3 linked regions of the Neurospora crassa OR74A genome follow. The protein of the gene in region 3 purifies or fractionates together with the protein of the main gene of each other region. This does not show direct contact. Links are inferred from orthologs where the notes say so. Each region holds a gene or a part of one and is shown on either strand. Other genes may lie near its edges.

Region 1 (4,012 bases), on a different chromosome or scaffold from region 3:
CCCCTTCCAGAAACGCTTACCAGGTTGACGCAAAAACTGAAGTTGGCTATGAGGTTGGCCGTCAATCTCGAAAGATATGTAAAGAAGCCTTTTACTTTCATCCACTGAAAGTAAGAAGCTCCGACGTTCCTGAAAGGTCCCTCCCGCCACAGCGCAACTCCGGCCCTCTCAAAATATATCACCACTGGAAACATCTACTGAGGGGATAAAAAAAAGGAGAAATAAAGAAAGGGGAATGGGGAGCGTATAGTAGAGGCATCTTCCTCTTTATAAGTACATATTAAAGGCAACAGGAGACTACTGGAATCTCCATGGGATTAATAGGCGCCCAGTATGGGAGCAGACCGTCAGTGCTCTCTTTGGTCGTCATAGCCCGGCTTGACCACTCTTTAGGTGGCTCGCCAGCGACTCAGACCTGCCTTCTGAGAAAGTGTCTCTACTCGAAAGCAGGAGGCTTCGCCCTGAAAACAGGCAAAACCATTACAAGCTCGTTTGAGGAGACGACAATCTCAGGCAGGCTTTACTGCTTTCATCATCCGGTTGCTTTACTTGCTGCGTCTGTGTCGCAAGGGATGATGGCCAAAAGTGTAGCCAGATCAAACGGGATGGGGTGAGGTATGAGAGAGAAACGCCAAACGCATCAAAGCAGGATACGCAGGCTGGAAGATGACATGATCCATTATTCTTTTAGCGCCATAGAAGCCATACCCGAGCCCATTAGCAAACAAGACAAGAGAAAGAAACCAAGAAAAGCTGATACTTGTAGACGACCACAGCTTAGTGCTTCCTCCTCGACGTGCTGTTCACCAACTTCTTCTTCATCGCCTTGGGTATCTTCTCTTTCCTCTTCTCCCTCTTGGCCTCCTTAACCGCCGCCTTGTGCTGCTTCTTTTCGTCCTTGTCGATGAACCTCTTGCCTCTTGGTGTTCCCTTTTCGAATCGGCTCTCGTCATCCTCGTCATCACTACCCTCCTCTTCGTCACCACTGCCCTCCTCCTCCTCATCAGACTCCTCCTCTTCCTGATCCTCCGCCGTCTTGTGCACCACTTGATCCGCCAACAGGTTCTTGTATACCAAATCCTCTCCTTGACCCTCGTTTACCTTGGCGACATCCTTCTCGATATCGTAAACCTCGTTCAGCGTCTTGGGGATGTACTGGTTTCTGAAAACCTCATTGTCGACCTCCTGCTCGGCCCTGGCCTCCGCGGTATCCTCCACCTCCACCCTCGTCTGGTACAGCTGTTCGACCGTCTCCTTCATACCGGGTTCCTCGGCCGGTCCCTTGGGGTTGACGATGAAATCGAAAATCGTGCGGTCTGAGAGCGTGTCGACACCCTTCCTCCTGAAGAAATCGCCGACGTTCTTGATATCCATACGCAGGAACTCGAGCGAGTGGGGATGGTCGTGCTCGACGGATTGGGAAACATCAATGATGTAGAGCTTCTTGTTGTTGTAGAGGATGTTGTATTCCGACAGATCGGCGTGGACGAGGCGGCAGACTTGGTACAGCTTGCGCATGAGGCCGAGGAGTTGGATGTAGAGGTCGCGCCATTGTTCATCGGCGTCGTCGCCCGAGATGGGAGCGTCGCGCAAACGGGGGTAGGCCCAGCCCTTGCGATCTCCCAAGAAGCTCATGACGAGCACGTGCAGCTTGAGCTTGATGGGCTCCGGGCAGGGGATGCCGGCTGTGTACAAACGGCGCAGGTTTCTGAATTCCTTTTCGGCCCAGAGCTTGACCATCTTCCTGTTGTTTCCCTTTTCACTGCCGCTCTTGAAGCGGTGTTCACCAGTAATGTACTTCTCGCGATCCTTGAACACCAGAATGGCCGTCTTGTAGATCTTGATGGCCTTGTGTATGGGGGCCGAGCCATCCTCGGGGTGGAGTATGGCACCGTAGACGTTGGCTTCCTTGCCCGTGCTGATGGCGCCGTGAATCTCGGAGACAAAGCCCTGGTTGATCATCTGCAGCAGGATCATGCGCGTGCGCTGGTCGAGGACGAGTTCGGAGGTGGCGCGATCGGACTTGTCTTTGCTGCGCTCGGCGGGACCGGAGGCATTGTCGAAGGCGTCGATGCGGATCTTTCCGGCGAACTTGGAGAGGGCGGCGATCTGGTCGTCGACGCGGGCCGACGTGTTGGCTGTGGGTTTTTGTTGCTGGGCCTGAGCTTGGGACTGCTGAGAGTTGGTAGCACCGGCGCCATGTTGTTGGCGGTTGTACGACTTGGTCAGGTCGGTGCCGCCATCTTCGTAGTCGAGGTCATCGTCGGATTCAAAGACATCTTGGAGGTCGTCGTCGTCGTCTTCCTCTTCGATCGCAAGGTTGTTGAGCTGGGCGGTGGTGTTGCTGAGGTCGACATTCTGGTTGTCGGTCGCCGCTGTGGTCGACGTGAGTTCTGGTTGGGACGCCATCTTGCTGCCGAGTCTGCTTTCGTCAGTTCCGCCGATATCAGCAGGTGGTGATGAGACAGGATGGCAGACGAAATGGAAATCGTCATGGAACTTGCGAACTTCCACTTCCCGTCCACTGGCAATTTTCTTGGTGGGGCGAGCTTACCTTATCTTATCGTAATGCGGGGTGTCTTCCAGTGGTAGGGCTGTTTTCGAGATTCAGGGTTAGGGTAATCCGTGAGTATCGAGTTCTTGACGACGACTCGACTCGAAGACGGATTGGAATGGAACTGAAGATGTTCTTGGATGTTTCCGTTCCACATGATATGGCTGCTTGTTAAGTAGTCTTCGGCTCACTTTAGGCTTCAGCATTCATAACATCTTTTCTTGCCTCTCCGAGTACAGACATTGCACCCCTGCACCGATGGCGACCAGTTTGCCACTGGAGTGAGCTTGTCGCCTAATAGTTAGTACGCTAGGCGATGATGCTGACGCTATCATTCTGATTCATTCCACTTCCACATTCATTCCTTGAGCTTTGGTTTGCATCTTCGACATCTCAACACGGTGCGGAACACACCTACTTCTGCCGGTGACTCAATCAACGCCAACAGCACTAACAGCACCCAGTGTACGCTTCCCTGTTGGACAGAACCCAGCTGTTAGTGCTCAAAAGGGGCGACCACCCAAAAGCCAATTCTCCACCCATGGGGCATAGGCCGATCCCCAAAGTCATCAAGCTAGCAATGGACACCATGGTCCCGGGTAATTACAGGGAAACCTAACATCATCCTTCTTACATTCCATTTTACTCACGGTCAAATCTGGTATATGACCTCTGGATATTTGCGTCTCATCAATGGAAACGATGGAGACTTGCAATCAAAGTAAACCCATCACGACCTTCTGGCCTGCTTCCACCTCATCCTGCAGGCATACATTGACATGACGCGTTTAGATGATTCGATTCATGGTCGTTGATGACTCCCACGTCAACAAACGGATAATGGGTCATCGACCACCCGAGTTCAGGAATGAACATATTTACATCATGTGTGAGCCGCAACTTGATGTCAACACGGAGCATATAATAGCACAGGGCCACAGTTTCCAACATCCAATAGGTAGGCGCGTCTCCCAATTCCCTTTTTATTTTATTCCGGCAACCCCCATCGGGATTCCAGCCTTGCCTAAACGGGCTCACAACTTCACTCACCATGTGCCACTCCTACATGGAACATCACTTTTGCCGTAATGGCGCCGATTGTCCAGCCGGCTATGGCTGGGTCAACGAGCAAGGGCAGCTGTACCGACGATGGTTCGAGCGCACTAGAAGACGGGTTTACTGCTATGCCAGTAGCAGCGACTGCCCAACCCGCAAGCGGGTGTTGATGACTGACTTATTCGTTTCAAGACGGATTGATGAGCTGTGTCCCCTTTGCTCGGCCGCAGCATGATTGGTATGGGAACAGTAATGGCGATGAGGTTGCTAGGGGGATATTTAGTCATTTGGGTCAAGGTCACCCGGGGCCTTAGAGATCTATTCGGAAACTTTGTTTTATGCTCGGAGTTTCCATAGATTGCTTTGATGCTCTGCCCCATTTCATGTCGAACATTCGCTTCT
Region 2 (3,671 bases), on a different chromosome or scaffold from region 3:
GATGGCATGGGTGCTGAGACCTTCGTGGTTTTTGGGCTATGGGTGTTGGGTGCGGAGGATGGAGGTCGAAGAATGGAGGAGTGGAGGAGAGAAGGACAAGAACGGCGACACATTTTAGTATCCAGTGTCGTGCTTTCCAAAATATAAGTTGCGGTCACCATTTGTTCTTCTTCTTTTTCTTTGCCCCTCTTCAATGGTTTTGAACAACTGACAAGCTATCGAAAGAAGGCTTCCACGCTTTCTGGCTTGGTAACGACGCACTCGGCGCCTGTTACTGAGAGAGGTAGGGTAGGAAAACAGCTTGCTCTCCTGTGCTTTCCGTTTCCCTGTTACTCCAAGGACTCGGTCCCGTAGGTCACTGACCACTCCCCCGATCCATGGTTTTATTATAAAAGACATCTCGATGCGGTAGGTCTGGTATTGTCAGCAATTGCTTCTCAGCAATGTTTGAGCAACGTGACGAAGAGAACAACATCCGACGCTCAAGCAATCCAAACGAAAGATGATTATGGTTCGATTCCTGGCAAAAGTGGCAGCCAGATTCATTGGCTTTTATGATTGTGCAAATCCTAGCATCCAGATCAATGGTATTTCCACGACAAATGGAACAAAACAAAGAATTTTTAAAAAACGACATTTTCCCAATCCCCAAAAAACGCCCCGTACGCCGATGATTTCTGTGCGTGTTCGCAATAATAACACACGTCTAAGAGAAGTGAATACCCTCCTCGTGGAACGCTGTCAGGAGTGTTAGCGAGGTTGTCCATCAGAAAGGGAAGCCGAGGGGGAAGAAAACGTACCAAGCAACAGCTTGAGGAAATCGTTCTGATCGCACTGCCTAGCTCTCTTGTCCGCCAAACCGGTGCTCGTAAGCACCTTGTTCAACTTGGCCTTGACTATCAAGGCCACCTTGGACTTGGGGTTCTTGCTAGGTGTCTTGGCGTCCTTAGCGTTGGCGTCGTTTTGCTCCTTGAAGAAGACGGGCATGTCCTCGTCCTCATCCTCCTCCATAGCCTCGTCATCGTCGTTGTTCTCTTCGTTATCATTGTCTTCGTTGTCGTCGTCCATCTCGACGTCCATGGCATCGTTGGTGGCGCCGGCGGCAGCAAGGTCAGCCGCGGAAGCGAGGGACTCGTCGATGGGGATGTTGTTGAGGGTGCAGTAGACTTTGTAGTTCTGGAAACGAAGTGGTCAGTAAGAGTTGGAGCTTGTGAACACATGGGAAGAAACGTACCCTCTCGCACATGTTGAGGACCTCCTTCTGGTTGAAGCCGGCATAAAGGGTCTTGTTCTTGCGGTTGAAAGCAATGCGAAGGAGACCGTCGAACTCCTCAAAAGCAATGTTGGGGCGCGCCGAACCAACAAGGGGCTCAATTCTGACGACGTCGGACTCGACCTTGGGAGGAGGCTTGAAGTTCTGCTTGCCGACCTTCATGATGTGCTTGCATGTGGCCCAGAAGTTGACATTGACACTCAATCTCGAGTAGAGAGCATCACCCGGCCGAGCCACCAGTCTCTTTGCGAATTCTCTTTGAAACATGAGTACGGCGACGCGGGGCGGGTTGGGCATGGCCAACATCTTGAAGATGAGCGGACTGGAAATTTGGTAGGGAGTGTTGGAGATGAGAGCGTCGCATGGAGGCATTTCGGGCATCTTGATGACATCGCCGAGAATGACCTCGAGCTTCTTGGCTAGCGGAGTGCCCTGGACACGCTTGGTAACTTCGGCACCCATACGAGGATCGAGCTCGATGGCGATGACCTTCTTTGCCTTTTCAAGGGCGCGGACCGTGATGTTGCCGGTACCGGGACCGACTTCGACGACGACATCGGTGGGCTTGAGGAAGGCCTTGTCGACAATGGCATCCGAGATACCGGGGTTCTTGAGGATATGCTGGCCAAAGTCCTTGTCGAACTTGAAGATGTTGGTGTTGGTAGCCTTGCCGCCGCCGCCGCCCCCCTTGCGATCGTAGGGGTTGCCGCCGCCCCCCGACTTCTTGGACGCCTTCGCTGCCTTGGGCATGGTGTAGTCTAGTCAATGCTGTCGTGGGTAGGTGTGTGGAGGAAGACGACTCGGAATCGAGGTCGGACGAGAAGGTTGGGGGATCGATGGAGGGTTTCGTCGTTTCGGTCGATCTCTGTCCGGGTCGAGACTTGGGCGGTTCGTTCTCAAGTCACGGCAGTCGCGCAATGGCTGTAGTATGTACCTCTATTGTGAGACGGACAGAGGTACCGCAGGCTGAAGAGAGCTTCCTTGTGCCTGCGCCGGACCCCGGCCGACATCTTTTTTTTGAGTGGATCAGGCGGCAGAAAAAAAGATGCCCCGCCAGACATGTGGCTGATAAGATAAGCAAAAGGCTGACCGCTTTCCCCATTGAGACACCATGCGGGCGGCGGCGGCGGCCCAGCCCACTGGAAACATCAGTGGAATCCAGGCACCTCGGCCACTTCCGACCGATGATTCCCCGTCTGACGTAACAGCGGAGGCCGCCCTAAACATGTGCGGCGGGTTCAAATTGCTACCCAGCACTTAAACGGCAAATCCTCCGGTCTTTCAGTGAGGGTCTTCCCCGTCATCACCTAACTGCCGTGTGAAGCTGATCACATCGAAGCAGACAGGCAGTGGCTTTGAATTTTCATCTACCTACCTATAATACCAACCCCCTCCCAAGGTTCGAGGAAATCGGATTGTAAAAAAAAAATAACAGATTCTTTTCCATCATCTTCTCCTTGGCTCATACCTGGGCGTGTGACCCACTGGTTATTCCTTGTTGTTTTGGTTCATGTGGTGATAGCCTCATTTCTCTGTTGAAGTTGACGATAATCAATCGCAACCATGTCGATACGGATCGCCCTCGAAAACCCTCCCGAGTTCTACACAAACCTGGATATTATCCGCGGCCAGGTCGTCCTCACTCTCAGTCGTCCCGAACAGATCGGAGGCATCATCGTCAAACTCGAGGGTGAAGCCAAGTCGGCCTTGGGAGTACCCGCCGATGGCTCAGGGACCGGCATTGCTCAGAGGGAGCGCACTCCAACCGGCGATGTTATCTACGAGAACCACAAGATCCTATACAAAGTCACCCAGGCCTTTCCCGACGAGAAGACCAACGCCTTGCCACAGCCCTATGTCCTAGCCGCTGGTCAACACAGATTCCCCTTCCAGTTCAAGTTTCCCTTCAACAATGCTTGTGGTGATCCTGTCGCCATGGCCAAACTAGGAGGCCTTTCTGGTGCCGGTGGAATCGCGTCGGGTTCTGGCTTGTTCGGTCTCGGTGGCATTCGTGTTATGGACGGCACCAAGCAGCTGATGTACTCCCATGTCACAAAGACGCTCCCACCCAGTTTCACCGGATTCCCAGGCCAGTGCGAGATTCGATACTATGTCAAGGTTACCATTCAGAGACCGGGCTTTTTCAAGGAGAACTGGAGGATGCAGACCGGCTTGAAATTCCTTCCTATTGAGCCTCCAAGGCCGCCCAAGACGAACCACGAAGCCTATGCCAGACGACCCTTTGCATTCCGTCCACGAAGCCCAAGGACAAACGCGTCTTCCAAGAAACGAGCTTCTTTCTTCAGCGGGTGGACTGGGAGTAGCAATGCAGGGTCATCTTCAGCCCCAACAACAACAACAACAACGGCTGATGGAAAACTTGCAACGGAGCCCGAAG
Region 3 (5,494 bases):
CCAACTAAAGTTGGTGCTCACGACTGCAACGGCCACACCACCACAACGGCCACCATAGTGAGCATAGTTCAGCATCAAGATATCAGAAGCTTGTAACTCATCACAACAACCAATTGAGATAAGTAAAATACTATAAGTATAATTAGGGAAGTACATCGTATATAGGAAGCATTTTTCTGCTTAGAAAAGCCAATACATTAGAAAGATTATGTTTCTGGCCTATAAATCAAGCCCGAAATTGCACCTCTAACCCTAACCTGGCCGTTGCGCTGGTGTGGCCGTTGCAGTCGTGAGCACCAACTTTAGTTGGTGCGAGTTTGGCGAGACCCAAAAAAGTGGGGGCGGAGCACGAGTACCGGCCAACCCCCCAATCCCATGCCCGCATACCTTACCCCGGGAGACAACGAAACACCTCGGGCTCCTGCAACCACCAACACGACACCATCCCGACCAACACCTGAGCTTCTTCGAGCGCGCCCGATTCCGAACAATTGGGACACCCATCAATCGGCTTCATACAGCGGACGCGACTCCAACTTAGAACTTTGCCCATCTATATACCGTCTAATAACTTGCCCTTCATGGCTGTCGATCCGCGCGTTCTCCAACAAGAGGTTTGAAACCTGCCCCTCCTGGCACCTCCTGACACTTTCGCGACACCTTGCTGATGCCGAATGCGAACACCAGGCAGAGAAGACCCTCGCGAGCGCGTCCAAAGGCTGGGGTCTGTTCGGAAACAAGGAAGACAAGTACCAAAATGCGGCGGATCAGTACATACAAGCGGCCAACGCTTTCAGGTTGCAGAAGTCAAGTACGTCATCACAATCATCAACACCCACGATGCGCTTTCGGGCCATATGAACCTCGCGGCAAGTCCTAACGTTCTGCCCACTACCCAGACACCGAGGCCGGCAAGTGTTTCGAGGAAGCTGCCAAGATCTTCACTGAGAAGTTGAAGGAGCCCAACGATGCGGCGAATGCCATGTTGGACGCCTTCAAGGTCTATAGGAAAGATGCCCCGGATAATGCTGTGCGCTGCGTCGAGGTTGCCATCAAGCAGTATACCATGGCGGGGAACTTCCGGAGAGCTGCGTCGCACAAGGAGAACCAGGCTGAGGTCTACGAAAACGAGCTGCAGAATAAGCCAGAGGCTATCAAGGCCTATACAACTGCGGCCGAGTGGTATGAGAACGACGGTGCTGTCGCGTAAGTGATTAATGCCCACGGCTTTTGCGCCATGTTACGAGTCCAACAGGTCGTTCTAACCAGCTGTGTGTAGTCTTGCGAACAAGCTGTGGCTCAAGGTGGCCGACCTCTCTGCCCTCGCGGGCGACTTTTTCGCCGCTATAGAGAAGTTCGAGAAGGTTGCGGAGGCTTCACTCGGCAACAACCTGATGAGGTACTCGGTCAAGGAGTACTTCCTCAAGGCCGGTCTCTGCTCCTTGGCGACCAAGGATATGGTCACTGCTCAGCGTAACATCACCAAGTATGCCGAGAAGGACCCATCATTTACGGGCCAGCGCGAATACCAACTCCTGGTTGACTTGTTGGAAGCAGCCTCAAACAACAACCTCGAGATGTTCCAGGATAAGCTTGCCGCGTACGATAAGATGAGCCGGCTCGATGACTGGAAGGCGGCTGTTCTTCTCCAGATCAAGAACAACTTTGAGGAGGCAGACAACGAGTTTTCATAAACAGGGTGGAGGAACTTGTGATATACAGCCATTTATCACTTTCTGGTTTCCTTCTTTCCTTTTTCTTTTCTTTGTTATCGTACCGGCGTTTTCTGGTTGGGAGGGGGATGAACTGTCATATCATGAATACGGTCATCGACGCTTTGGTGATTTACGGAAGACCCAAACAAACCTGCTGTCTGGGGTAGAGATGGGCTTAAAGCAATAGAAACTTGTTCCTAGTGGGTACGCGTTGTTCGTACGATCCAACATGAATTGTTGTATCTCATAACCTTGATGGCTGCCCAAGCGAAACATAGGTACCTCTATAAGCATGAGATGCCATAGCTAACCCTGGAGTTACAGTTGGGAGCCGCTTCGGACTAGCGCCAGACCCTTATCAATGACAGCGGGTGGGGCGTGCGCGCCGATAAGCGACAACTTTTCGAACTTTTCTGTTCTTCATGACATCGATTTCAGCACTGCGAAGCGGCTTGCATTGTCCCACTCCAGCGCCATTCCATCACATTCACGATGGCTTCTTCTCCGTCTTTGCAGGAGAAACTGGACAAGATTCGGTCTCCGAATCTCCAGAGCCAGAAGCAGGTAAGCCAGAGTCATGATGCATCTCTCCTTTTTCCATCTTTTGTCTTCTGCATCCCTACCCTCTTCCTTCCAGCCTGCCATTGCAGTGGCCTGTCGCAAGGCCGCCTCCATCGTGGACAATGGACCCTGACTTGAGCCACAGACTGCCAGTGTCCTCGAGGCTATCGAGGCCACCTTCAAGGAGCGCAATACACCCGCGACTCCTACCGCCTACTTCGCTGCCCTTCTCAGTCTACTCAACAACGAAAACCTCGCGACCCCCGTCGTCTACCTCCTCGATGTCGTCACTCCCTTCGCTCCAAAGCCTATTCTTCAGGCCAAGTTCACTCAGATCATCACCATCCTCGCGCCAGTACTATCCCTCCCCGATGCCGATGCTCCCCTCATGAGGGCCTCGATCGGCTCTCTCGAGAGCTTGCTCCTTGCTCAAGATGCGACACAGTGGGAGCTCGGTACCGCCCAGATTGGCCCCCGCCGGGCTGTGGCCGGCCTCCTCGCCCTTGCCCTCGACCCGCGTCCCAAAGTCCGCAAGAGAGCCCAGGAAGCGCTCAGGAACATCCTGAAGAACCCTCCGCCGAGCCCGTCTCTCGACCACCCCGCCGCCCCCATGTGCGCCGAGACAGCCATGCAGAGCCTCCGTCTTGTCGCTGACAAGGCCGCCGCCCAGAGGAAGGAAAAGAAGACTACCGACTCTACCCACGATCCCGAGCTTATCCACGCCTTGCAACTCGTCAAGGCTGTCGCCTCTGGAAGCGGTGGCTGGCCCAGCAAGAGCATTGAGTCTTTGTGCGAGCTCCTTCTCAGCATTGCCCGGACGGGCAACGAGCACATGAGCATGGCTGTCTTCGAGATCTTCGAGATGATGTTCGAGGGCATGGCCGCCGACGAGGTTGCCTCCGCCAAGCTTCCTCGGCTGCTCGAGATCATCAGAGAGCTCCGTCCCGCGCCCAACGATACCCAGCTTCTCCCTCCCTGGATCGCCATTCTGTCGAGAGCCTACGATGTTGCCGGTCAGATTTCGCCCGCCGAGACCTTCCAAGAGCTGGTCGATCCTTTCACTCTGGTTGCAGGATACCTCGAGTCCCAGCACAAGAATATTCGCGTTTCGGCGTCCGAGTGCTTGGTCTCCTTCCTGGCCAACTGTGTCCCCAAGGAGGCCATCCTTGAGCCTTCGATTTTTGACGAGAAGGTCATTCAGCAACTAGTCAAGGTTGTCGAGGGCCTTCTCACCGTCCAGTACCAAGCTGCCTGGATGGAGACTTTCAACGTTCTTGGTGCCATGTTCGATGCCTTTCGGTGGCAGGCTAACCCTTACCTCCTTTCCGTCGTCAAGAGCATCGGCGAAATCCGCGGTAACGATTCTTTCGCTGGAAAGCAGGAAGCCGACGAGGTCCTTGGCAAGGCGATTCGTGCAATGGGTCCTGAGGCGGTCTTGAATGTTCTTCCCCTGAACCTCGCGAAGCCCGTCAAGGGTCAGCCTGGCAGAGCTTGGATGCTTCCTCTTCTCCGTGACTACACCTCCAACACCAATCTTGCACACTTCAAGAGCGAATTGGTTCCTCTCAGTGCTATCATGTTCCAGCGTGTGATTGAGCACCAGGGCGAGAAGAACATTCACATCAAGATTTTCGAGACTGTTGTTCAGCAAATTTGGTCGATTCTTCCCGGCTACTGCGACCTTCCACTTGATCTTGTCGAGGCCTTTGACACAGGCTTCGCTGAGATGTTGACCAACCTTTTGTATGAGCAGGTTGACCTGCGCTTGGATATTTGTCGCGCCCTCAGGACCGTTGTTGAGTCCAACCAGGCCATCGCCACTTCCGATGAGGTCGATGACCTCATTCTCTTTGGCAGGGTCAGCAAGGAGCAGGCGCAGAAGAACTTGGAGTACCTCGGAGCCACCTTTGCAGCTGATTTCCTCGCTGTTCTCTTCAACGTCTACAGCACCACTCTCCCCCAGAAGCGCGGCCCTGTCCTCCAGACCATCAACGCCTACCTCAGCATCATCCCTCCCGCGCGTCTTACCGAGACTTTCGACATGGTGTGCGAGAAGCTCGCCGAGGCTCTTCAAGAGGCTGTTGAGAAGAAGCCCCAACAACAGCAGAAGGCCGATCACATGCCTTCTGCCGCGCACACTCTCATGGACCTGGTCGTTACCATGTCTATCTACCTCCCCCGTGCCAGCTTCGAGGCTCTTTTTAAGATCGCTTCAGTGGTCATCTTCAAGGATGATGACCCTCAGCTGCAGAAGAAGGCTTACAAGCTCATTCCTCGCTTGGCGGATTCCCCCATCGGCAAGGCCGCCCTCGAGGAGAGACATGGCGAGCTCCAAACCCTGTTCCTGTCCAGCTCTGAGAAGGTGTCGGCACCTGCCCGGAGAGAGCGCCTGGCTGCCATTGCTGCTCTGATTCACTTCATCCCCAACGATTCCCTGCACTTCATTCCCTCCATTCTTTCAGAGGTTGTCATTGGCTGCAAGGAGCACAACGAGAAGGCTCGCACTACCGCCTTCGACCTTCTGGTTCTCCTTGGCCAGAAGATGGTTTCTGCTCAGGGCTCTTTGATCGATAACAGCAAGGTCCCTCACATGCCCGCGGATGCTCCTGCGGCTACCGCCTCTATTGAGGAGTTCTTCACCATGGTCAGTGCCGGTTTGGCTGGCAGTACCCCCCACATGATTTCGGCCTCTATCACTGCCATTACCCGCGTTCTTTATGAGTTCCGCGAGACCGTCAGTAAGGAAACACTGTCCGACCTTGTCCAGACCATGGACCTCTTCCTTACTTCCAACAACCGCGAAATCGTGAAGAGCGTTCTTGGCTTCGTCAAGGTCTGCATCATCAGTCTGCCCACCGAGATGATGACACCCCGCCTTCCCACACTCATTCCCAACGTCATGGTTTGGAGTCACGAGCACAAGGGCCATTTCCGCTCCAAGGTCAAGCACATTATCGAGCGTATGATCCGTCGCTTTGGCTTTGAGGCCGTTAGCAAGTACTGTCCCGAGGATGACAGGAAGTTGATTGTCAACATCCGCAAGACCAAGGAGCGCGCGAAGAGGAGAAAGGAGGCCGGCAAGGAGGCCGGTGAGGGTTCGGACGACGAGGCCGGCGGCAGAAAGGCCAGCCGGTTCGAGAGCGAGTACGACCACGCCCTTTACAGCAGCGACGACGACAACGAGTCGGAGCAGTCAGACGACTCGGACGCCGAGATGA

The links.
Region 1: the proteins of NCU01675 (region 3) and stk-52 purify together in Saccharomyces cerevisiae (affinity purification with mass spectrometry; 3 studies listed by BioGRID). This does not show direct contact. The link is inferred for Neurospora crassa OR74A from reciprocal best matches to the Saccharomyces cerevisiae genes RRP12 and RIO1.
Region 2: the proteins of NCU01675 (region 3) and NCU08968 purify together in Saccharomyces cerevisiae (affinity purification with mass spectrometry; 5 studies listed by BioGRID, with this or other methods). This does not show direct contact. The link is inferred for Neurospora crassa OR74A from reciprocal best matches to the Saccharomyces cerevisiae genes RRP12 and DIM1.

The regions. Positions count from the first base shown.
Region 1 is NC_026503.1:5,215,472-5,219,483, forward strand, and holds stk-52 (serine/threonine-protein kinase RIO1), read right to left. Parts: upstream 2,801-4,012; 5' UTR 2,555-2,800; intron 2,423-2,554; 5' UTR 2,410-2,422; coding exon 778-2,409; 3' UTR 291-777; downstream 1-290. UniProt on the Saccharomyces cerevisiae protein: Required for the final endonucleolytic cleavage at site D converting 20S pre-rRNA into the mature 18S rRNA. Required for the final steps of cytoplasmic maturation of the 40S ribosomal subunit.
Region 2 is NC_026505.1:5,864,622-5,868,292, reverse strand, and holds NCU08968 (dimethyladenosine transferase), read right to left. Parts: upstream 2,272-3,671; 5' UTR 2,024-2,271; coding exon 1,235-2,023; intron 1,177-1,234; coding exon 801-1,176; intron 739-800; coding exon 707-738; 3' UTR 501-706; downstream 1-500. Other genes in the region: NCU08969 (hypothetical protein), read left to right, coding at 1-147; NCU08967 (arrestin domain-containing protein), read left to right, coding at 2,837-3,671. UniProt on the Saccharomyces cerevisiae protein: Specifically dimethylates two adjacent adenosines in the loop of a conserved hairpin near the 3'-end of 18S rRNA in the 40S particle.
Region 3 is NC_026502.1:2,739,048-2,744,541, reverse strand, and holds the start of NCU01675 (90S preribosome component RRP12), read left to right. Parts: upstream 1-2,111; 5' UTR 2,112-2,207; coding exon 2,208-2,279; intron 2,280-2,421; coding exon 2,422-5,494. Other genes in the region: NCU01674 (alpha-soluble NSF attachment protein), read left to right, coding at 582-614, 688-811, 900-1,206, 1,280-1,694. UniProt on the Saccharomyces cerevisiae protein: In association with GSP1, required for nuclear export of both pre-40S and pre-60S ribosomal subunits. Required for the late maturation of the 18S and 5.8S rRNA of the pre-40S ribosomes and for maturation of the 25S and 5.8S rRNA of the pre-60S ribosomes.